2 linked regions of the Neurospora crassa OR74A genome follow. The protein of the gene in region 1 interacts with the protein of each later gene in a pairwise test. Links are inferred from orthologs where the notes say so. Each region holds a gene or a part of one and is shown on either strand. Other genes may lie near its edges.

What was found.
Region 2: the proteins of NCU02963 (region 1) and NCU06941 interact in binary tests that used the Saccharomyces cerevisiae proteins (3 or more experiments, as listed by UniProt). The link is inferred for Neurospora crassa OR74A from reciprocal best matches to the Saccharomyces cerevisiae genes GIM5 and YKE2.

What each region holds. Positions count from the first base shown.
Region 1 is NC_026501.1:8,561,290-8,565,647, reverse strand, and holds NCU02963 (c-myc binding protein), read left to right. Parts: upstream 1-1,332; 5' UTR 1,333-1,484; coding exon 1,485-1,506; intron 1,507-1,758; coding exon 1,759-1,920; intron 1,921-2,394; coding exon 2,395-2,504; intron 2,505-2,557; coding exon 2,558-2,675; intron 2,676-2,754; coding exon 2,755-2,810; 3' UTR 2,811-3,081; coding exon of another isoform or gene 3,082-3,493; 3' UTR 3,494-3,633; downstream 3,634-4,358. Other genes in the region: NCU02962 (hypothetical protein), read right to left, coding at 1-174, 240-845; NCU02964 (hypothetical protein), read right to left, coding at 3,082-3,493, 3,634-3,864, 3,947-4,358.
Region 2 is NC_026507.1:844,092-847,405, reverse strand, and holds NCU06941 (prefoldin subunit 6), read left to right. Parts: upstream 1-1,368; 5' UTR 1,369-1,567; coding exon 1,568-1,631; intron 1,632-1,685; coding exon 1,686-1,756; intron 1,757-1,850; coding exon 1,851-1,975; intron 1,976-2,033; coding exon 2,034-2,154; 3' UTR 2,155-2,459; downstream 2,460-3,314. Other genes in the region: NCU06942 (vacuolar protein sorting-associated protein VPS4), read right to left, coding at 49-701; NCU06940 (hypothetical protein), read right to left, coding at 2,460-3,136, 3,238-3,274. UniProt on the Saccharomyces cerevisiae protein: Binds specifically to cytosolic chaperonin (c-CPN) and transfers target proteins to it. Binds to nascent polypeptide chain and promotes folding in an environment in which there are many competing pathways for nonnative proteins.

The sequences.
Region 1 (4,358 bases):
AATCTCGTCGCCCGGTTCAAGATCCCTCTCCGCCTTGAGAAAGGCCTTGCGCTTCTCGAAAGCGATGTAGGCGTTCGGAACACAAGAGTGATTAACCATAGAAAGACTAGGGTGAAGATAGATGCCCGCCTGTCCCGTGTCGGCATCAAACCTGTTGAACGCATTCGTTTGGATCTAAGGTCGCCGCACTAGTCAGTTCACATCACACGTCGATACCCAGACTTCCACATCAAACTCACCTTGCACAAAACCTCCATAGCCTGCTTCAACGTCTCATCACTCTGCAACAAACCCGCATAAACCACCGCCCCCGTAGCCTGTAATTCGAAATCACCCCACAAGCCCTCATCAGTCTTGAACCCCTCCACATTACTCTCCAACGTACCACCAGGCCCAAACGCCTTGACAGTCTCCTCATCCCCAGCCTTCAACAACAGCATCACCTGCGCCACCGCCCTCACGGGAGTCGGCAACCAGTCCTTGCCCGTCCGCTCCTGGATTCGCTTGAACATCTTGCATTCGGCCTTATGCACCAGCTTCCAGTGCGCCCGCTGGCACTCGGCGTTGCAGTACACGGCCGCCTTGCAGCCCGTGCACGCCTTGCACGTCCGGGCCCCCGCTTCCACATCGCCCTCGAACTCGATCGTCCCGCTGACATAGAGGCAGTAGTTGCAGGTCGTCCGCATGTTGGCGTCGTCTGGGAGAGCGAGCAAGGGGTTTTCGATGATGGCGATGGTTTCGCCGGCGCCGAAGCGCTCCGTGGAGAAGAGGCTGCGGCCCCGGTCGACGCCGGGGATGCCGCCGATGCGGGTTTTGGGGATGGGAGATGGCAGTGAGGGCGCCATGATGGTGGTGCTTCTCTGCGAGTTTGGGTTGGGGTTTGTTGATGAGGTGAAGAAGAAATTCGGGTGTTTGTTTGTTAGAGGTTGCTGGGGTGACCGTTCTTATGTGTAACGCGAAAAGTTGAGGTGCCACCCGTTGATAGTGGCAACCGACGAGAAAGTTTGAAGAGAGCGAGAAGGATAAAATGCTGTTTCCAGTACAGTTTTCCGTTATACTCAACCCAGTAAGCCGCTTCGCCGTGTATTTCTCTTGGAACAAGATGGTCAGTTCGAGGATTGGCTCCTCAATGGACCTATCTATGTTGTCGAGGAAAAGTGAGAAGATGGTTGTCAGGAGAAAGTCAAGTCACTGTTTACTCGGTACTACATACCTAGGATCTCGGGCATGTACCCCGCCTGCAGCGAACAGGGGAAAGCGACGAAGCGACCCCTGGAAGCCCGCAAAATTCTGCCCCACAGAGCTGCTCTCATAGCGGGGCAACCACCTCCACGCACTACCTCTATCGTTGCTGCCGGCCCTCGTGGCCGCCCGATCAACTGGAACTGAACCTCGTTCAAACATCACATTCGGTTTTGTGAATTAGACACTCTTACATCTAGCCCATTCCTCTCTCGATTACAAACGAATAAGAAAGCGTAAAGATGTCTGGCAAGCAAGAAGGAGGTAAGTATCTCCCCTTTCACCGCTGCCCGCTCCTTTGAACCTTGCAAGCTCCCACTCATTCAAGGGAGCTTCATGTTCGCTCCTCCTCTAAAGCTCAATCAAGCTTCGAGCTCAAGCTTCACCTTACCTTCCCCATCCCCCCCCCTGGTCACCTCCCGCACTCATCTCACCCCCTTTAGTCCACACCATGATGCCGCCCCCATTCCCCGTTTGATGTTTCAATGTGTGGCAGTCACTAACAGACCTTCCCAGTCAACATTGAGAGCCTCAGCGCTCAACAACTTACCGCCGTCAAGCAGCAGCTAGACGAGGAGGTCGAGCACCTGACGGCCTCGTACACGCAGCTAGCTGCGGCGCAGGCCAAGTTCAAAGAGTGCTTGCGAATCGTGCAGACAGGAAGCAGTTCTTTTGATGGTATGTTTAGTTGACCTGTTTCCTTCATTTTTCTTTCATCTTGATGTGGTAGATGAGATGGGGTGGATCGTCTATGAGTATATTCGAAGGGCCGGGAGTTTGGGGGATGGGGATGGATTTTGTCAAGCTTCCACTTGACGGTCAACCTCTTCGTGAGCTTTTGTCTCATTCTCTGATGTGACCCGATGAGCTATCCCTTTTTTTCTCCAGTCCTCTTCATCCCACTTACAACCATAACAAACGTCTACACCTCATTTTACTTTTATCTACTCATCTCATGGCGGTGATGTCGCCATCCTCCACCTCCCCACGCCTCATATCTCCCATCCTCATATCCGATCAACACCCTTTCTTCCCACCTGCTGTTCCACCACGCCCATCCTACAATTCCATTCCCTTCATCCCGACCCAAGCCCAGCCGAACGCCTACCCTCCAGTCATGGTCACCGCTGACAACAAGACCCCATTCAACAGACAACAAAGACATCCTCGTGCCCCTCACCAACTCCCTCTACGTCAAGGGCAAGCTCTCCAACCCCGACCGCGTGATCGTCGATGTTGGTACTGGGTTCTACGTCGAAAAGGTACGTCTCTCCGCCACGAACGGCACTACATGTTATTAACTCGAAGCGTTCAGGACACCAAAAGTGCCACTGATTTCTACGATGCCAAGGTCAAGGAACTTGGCGCCAACATTCAGAACTTGGAAGCCATTGTCCAGGGAAAGACTAACAACCTCCGCGTGGTGGAAGAAGGTACGGCATTCTCCTCTTTTTCTTGAGCTGTCCGTGCATTTCAGCCATGGCATTGTTACTAACAAGAATCAACATCTAGTCTTGAGGCAGAAGGTGCTGGCACAAGGAGCTGGACCTGCATCGGCACAGGCATAGTGGAGAATCTGACTTGTTATTGTGTGATTAAGCGAAGCAAAAAAAAACAAACAAAAAACGACAAAAATACAACTTGGGCACAGCTACTTGGTGTATGTCCTCGATCTCCTTGAATACGCGTTGAGCCATTGACGATTATTATGACGACACACCCATGTATTCGAAGAACCGTTCCGCGACCTTGAGCTCAGCAGCCAAACATCACTACTTCAGCTCTTAATACCTCACCACGACAACTTTCCATCTACAACTGCTGATAGCCCGCGTCTGTCTATACAGTTCTTTCCAGCACCGTTTGGACCTTTCCAACCCAGTGCAATAAGGCATCAAGCGGGTCAAGATCCCTAGTGGGGTCAGCGGATGACATGGATGACTTGAAGAACTGTTCTGGAAACGCTTCCCAGGACCGCGGTCCGGCTGAAACGTCAGCATTGGCCATGTGGTCGTCCCACTCCGGTCGATACATGCTGACGCTCACACCAGCGACGGGCTCTTGAGGCTGTCGGCTCTTGGTGCCCGAGATAGTGCTCCACTGCCGGTACAGGGAAAGCTCAACGATGTAGTCCTTGTTGAGGTAATAGGACCAGGTCGTCTTGCCAATGAGAGCCTCAATATGGTGTTTCTGTGCGAAGGACGCCGCAATGTGAGGCTCAATACAACGGGTGTTCTCATTGTGACGAATCCTGATGCCCTTGCTCAGTGTATGTTGATCGAGTGGGAGCTTATTGCCGGTCTCATCGATGGGAGACTCGACTTTCAAGACCCAGTCGTGATTTCTGGGATGTGTTAGTTTGGCAAGGAAGTGAGAAAGATGCCGACTTACTTGTCAGGGCATGCTGTGGCAAGTTCGACACTACGGTGGCTCTTCTCTCGATGGAAGACGTTCAATGAGCCGAAAGTAAAACCACAGATTTGATTTTTATCGACGCTCACTTCCAGGTTGACATTTTTCGTCGTCACAATCACAAAGTTTTCTATGCCTTGGGGGCCTTCAAAGTCTGGATCGAGGGAGAAGGCATGTTGAATCTTTTCGCGCATTGATTCACCACCCAGTCTGAGCAGTGTTAGACATTAATCGCCTGGGAAAGCGACCAGAAAAAGGAGAACCAGAAGGGAAGACCAGAGTATACACTTACCTCATCTCCATGTAAGAAGTCCCTCTGCTGCTCACCCTGCGAGCCAACTTCGAGAACTCATCGAGCGTATAGCTCGTAGTACCCCGCTTGCGTTCTTTGAAGAACAGTTTGCCGAAAGCGATCTGCATGCGCATCCTATTGGGACAATACCGCAAGCCATCACCCACGCGGACCATCGCAGCAGCAAGATCGCTCTTGTAAGCTTGGACAGCCAAAGCATCGGCCACCTCAGTAGAGTCGGTGAGTGTCGCGGCTGGTCGAAACCATGTGGTTTCAGGGCTGTCCTGGAGAAGTATCCGTATGACACGCTTGTCGCTGCTGGGCGGAGCCACAAGTACTGAATCTCGCCAGACTGTCGCATGCCCTTCACGGAGCATCAAGCTCCTCAAGATGCTGCGTATGGCCGCCTGGG
Region 2 (3,314 bases), on another chromosome or scaffold:
TCAGTCACGATAGTGGCATAAGGACAGAGACAACAGGACAAAACATACCGTTCACTCTCACCCATCCACTTGCTCACCAAATCCGAGCTGCTCACGCTGAAGAACGTGCTCTTCGCCTCTGTCGCCACTGCCTTGGCCAAATAACTCTTTCCTGTTCCCGGTGGGCCATACAGCAAAATACCCTTCCACGGCTGCCTCTTCCCCTGGAACAGATGCGGGAACTTGATTGGCAACAAGACCGCCTCCTTGAGGGCCTCCTTGGCACCCTCTAGACCAGCCACATCATCCCAGCTGATGTTCGGCCGTTCCTGCAGAATCGCGCCCGCCAACGCACTTCTCAGCTTCTTGCTATCCTCATCCAACGCTTCTCCATTGCCATTACCGTCCTCCCCGGCCTCCTTCCCCTTCCCCGTCCCGCCCGTCGAACCCCCGTTCGCGCCCACCATCCCGGGCTTCTTCCGCTTCGCTTCCGCGTCCGCCAGGTGCGCTTTGAGCTTCTCGGCCCGGTCCATGTACTCGCCCGTCTTGGCCCGGATCATCTCCTTGGATTTCGGGTTCTTCTCCCATTTTAGGGCGAGCATGAAGAGTTCGAGCGATTGGTAGTACAGCTGGTAGGCTTTGTCGTACTGGGCGGCGTTGTCGGCTTCGATGGCTTTGCGCACTTGCTCGATGGCGCGGCCGAGGAAGTCGGTATTGGACATTTTGTGCGGCGGCGGCTCGAAGCGTGTAAAGTGATGTCGCGTGAATTCGTGGTTTAGTCGAGTGTAGGATTGGTCGCTCTTCTTGGTACGCCGTAGTAAGCGTTTGTAGTCGTTATACTTGTTTGCTTCTTCGCTCGGACAAGGAGAGTTTGTTGATATTCGCGCGCCGAGGTTCGAAGTCAATGTCAACAGATGGCCATATGCGAGGGAGGAGACCCGTTGATGACGACTGCTGTTGTCCTAGGCTACGGCAACGAGAGTGGCAGAGATAAGGTGAAGAGAAATCGGGAATTGGTCGTATCTTGCGGGCGTCACCTGGCAACGACTACGGCAAGACTGTCTTCTGGCACAAAAAAGTTGGTGTCGCGCCCTGGTCTGAGGTGGAATTGGAGAGGGGAAGATCGTTGGTGGTCTTGTCCATATCTTGGTTAGTTTCAAGCAACGAGGTCGACTTGTCTTGGCCGTTGACCTGGAAGCGCTAGCGTAGCGCGGGGTCCTGTTATGGTTCCCGGCCTGGGGGCCACTGACGCCACTTGTTTGCGCGTGGAGAGAGCGCTGGTCTGGGGCTGTTAGTACTTTGCTTGAGGATACACTCCTGCACTAACAGCTAAAGCTTGGGCACTGACTTTGGGATCTGCTCAGCTCACCCCTGACGATTGACTGCACAGCGAGCTCAGTTCCCCGGAATAGAAACCTCCAAATTCCCCATACTGGAGCTCATCTGTGTTTCTTGTTCCTGCATTTTGATCCATCATCTTCCCTCCCTCACTGTGTCCAAACCCTTTTTCAGTTTTCGAACGTCATCGCCTAGTAACTTTTCAGCATAACCCTGTCTCTCACTTCACATCACCCTCAAAGAAGCAGCCATGGCCAGCCCCCTCCAACTAAAGCTCCAAGCTCTCTCTGATGAGTATCAAAACCTGAACAAAGGTGAGCCCCCCTTATGATGATATCCCCGTAGTTCATTCACTAACTGTACCTCAGAACTCCAAGAGACTGTTCTCGCCAGACAGAAGCTCGAGGCTCAGAAGCAGGAAAACGTCAGCGTGCAAAATGTCAGCTTTTCTCCAAGCATCGCGCTCGCATGCCCAATGCCTTTCGCCAAATTCTGCCCAAGGAAAAAATGGGGACTAACTGAGCACCATGTAGGAGTTCGAGAAGCTCAAGGATGACGAGCAGATCTTCAAGCTAGTGGGCCCGGTGCTGCTCAAGCAGGACAAGATGGATGCAGAGAACACAGTCAAGGGTAGACTGGAGTTCATCAGCAAGGAGATGTAAGTTGAACTGCTGCATGGGATCTTGAGTTACAACGCAACTGACCCACTGTCACAGCACTCGCTTGGAGGGAGTCATCAAGGAGACACAGGGCAAGATTGAGAAGAAGAGGACAGAGATCATTCAGGTCCAGACGAGCGCCCAGGCTGGTGGTGCCCCTCAGGCCGTCAAGGCTTAGACCTAATGAAATCAGTTACGGAAAGAATGTCCACTATACCCAATCGAGATCAGGCGCAGGTACGATTCATCACACAGCGCTCCGGGGAAACTGTCTCGTGAATGCAGTCATAGGTCGATTTCTTTACCAAACGGTAATTATTACGTGATGTATTCATTGAAGATTCCCCCAAGATACCCCTTGACGCCTTGCTCTAAAATCGCTGAATGGGGATAACCAAAACACAACTTACACCCCCCTTCTCCCTGACCCTTACTCATCCACCCACCGACAGACCGCAGCTTCTCATCCTGTCTAGTATAACCTCAGTTCAGCGCCATAATTGTGAACCCCCACGGCAGCCCCATATTCTTGCAACTTCGGCCACTAACCCATGCCACACTATCACTCGACAAATCCTCGCCCGCCGCATTCAGCGAGAGCAGACTACTCCCGCCCTGCTGGGACGCCCGATCCGGATCCTCCACCATTGCCACCACAAAGCTGACCAGCTCGTCTTTGGTATAACAATGGCTCAGCAAGGACGTCGCGCCGATACGATCCAGCATCGTTCTGCGCTGTTCGCTCTCGGCAAAGAGCTGGAGCTCCCTGGAGAGGAGACTGGTCGTCAAGTCTCCTGACCCAGAGTTTGCGAAAGCTGCAGAAGAAGAAGAACAAGCACGCAAGAGCCGCTCAAAAACCATGGCCATCCCCGCAACAGCTTGGACGAACAGCGTCACCTTGTCGTGGTCGTCTAGCCCAGCCTCGATGCGGAATTCCTTTTCGGTCACGAAGGCGAGGCAGGAGGTGTCGAAGATGGAGTTGAGGATACGGTCGAGGCTGGAGGGCTGGGAGAGGAGGGCATGACTGCCATCCGGGAGGGCGTAGGTGTTGGTGAATTGGACGAGGATCTGTTTGAGTAGGGTGGAGAGGCAGGTCTCAGGGGGGACAAGGAGACGGCCCTGTTCGAATAATAGGTTGTCGGCTGCTGCTTCGATGCTGGCTGTTTATGTAGGAAGATGGGGTGTTAGTTTGGGCGTGACGGACGTGAGGGCTGTGAGAGGAGGAGGAAAGGGCTGGGTGGAGGAGTTGTGGTGGACTTGCCTTGCATTGGGCTTATGGAGGAGACTGTTGACGCCATTGTGATGAAGAGGAAGAAAATTGAGGGTATCACTGAGATG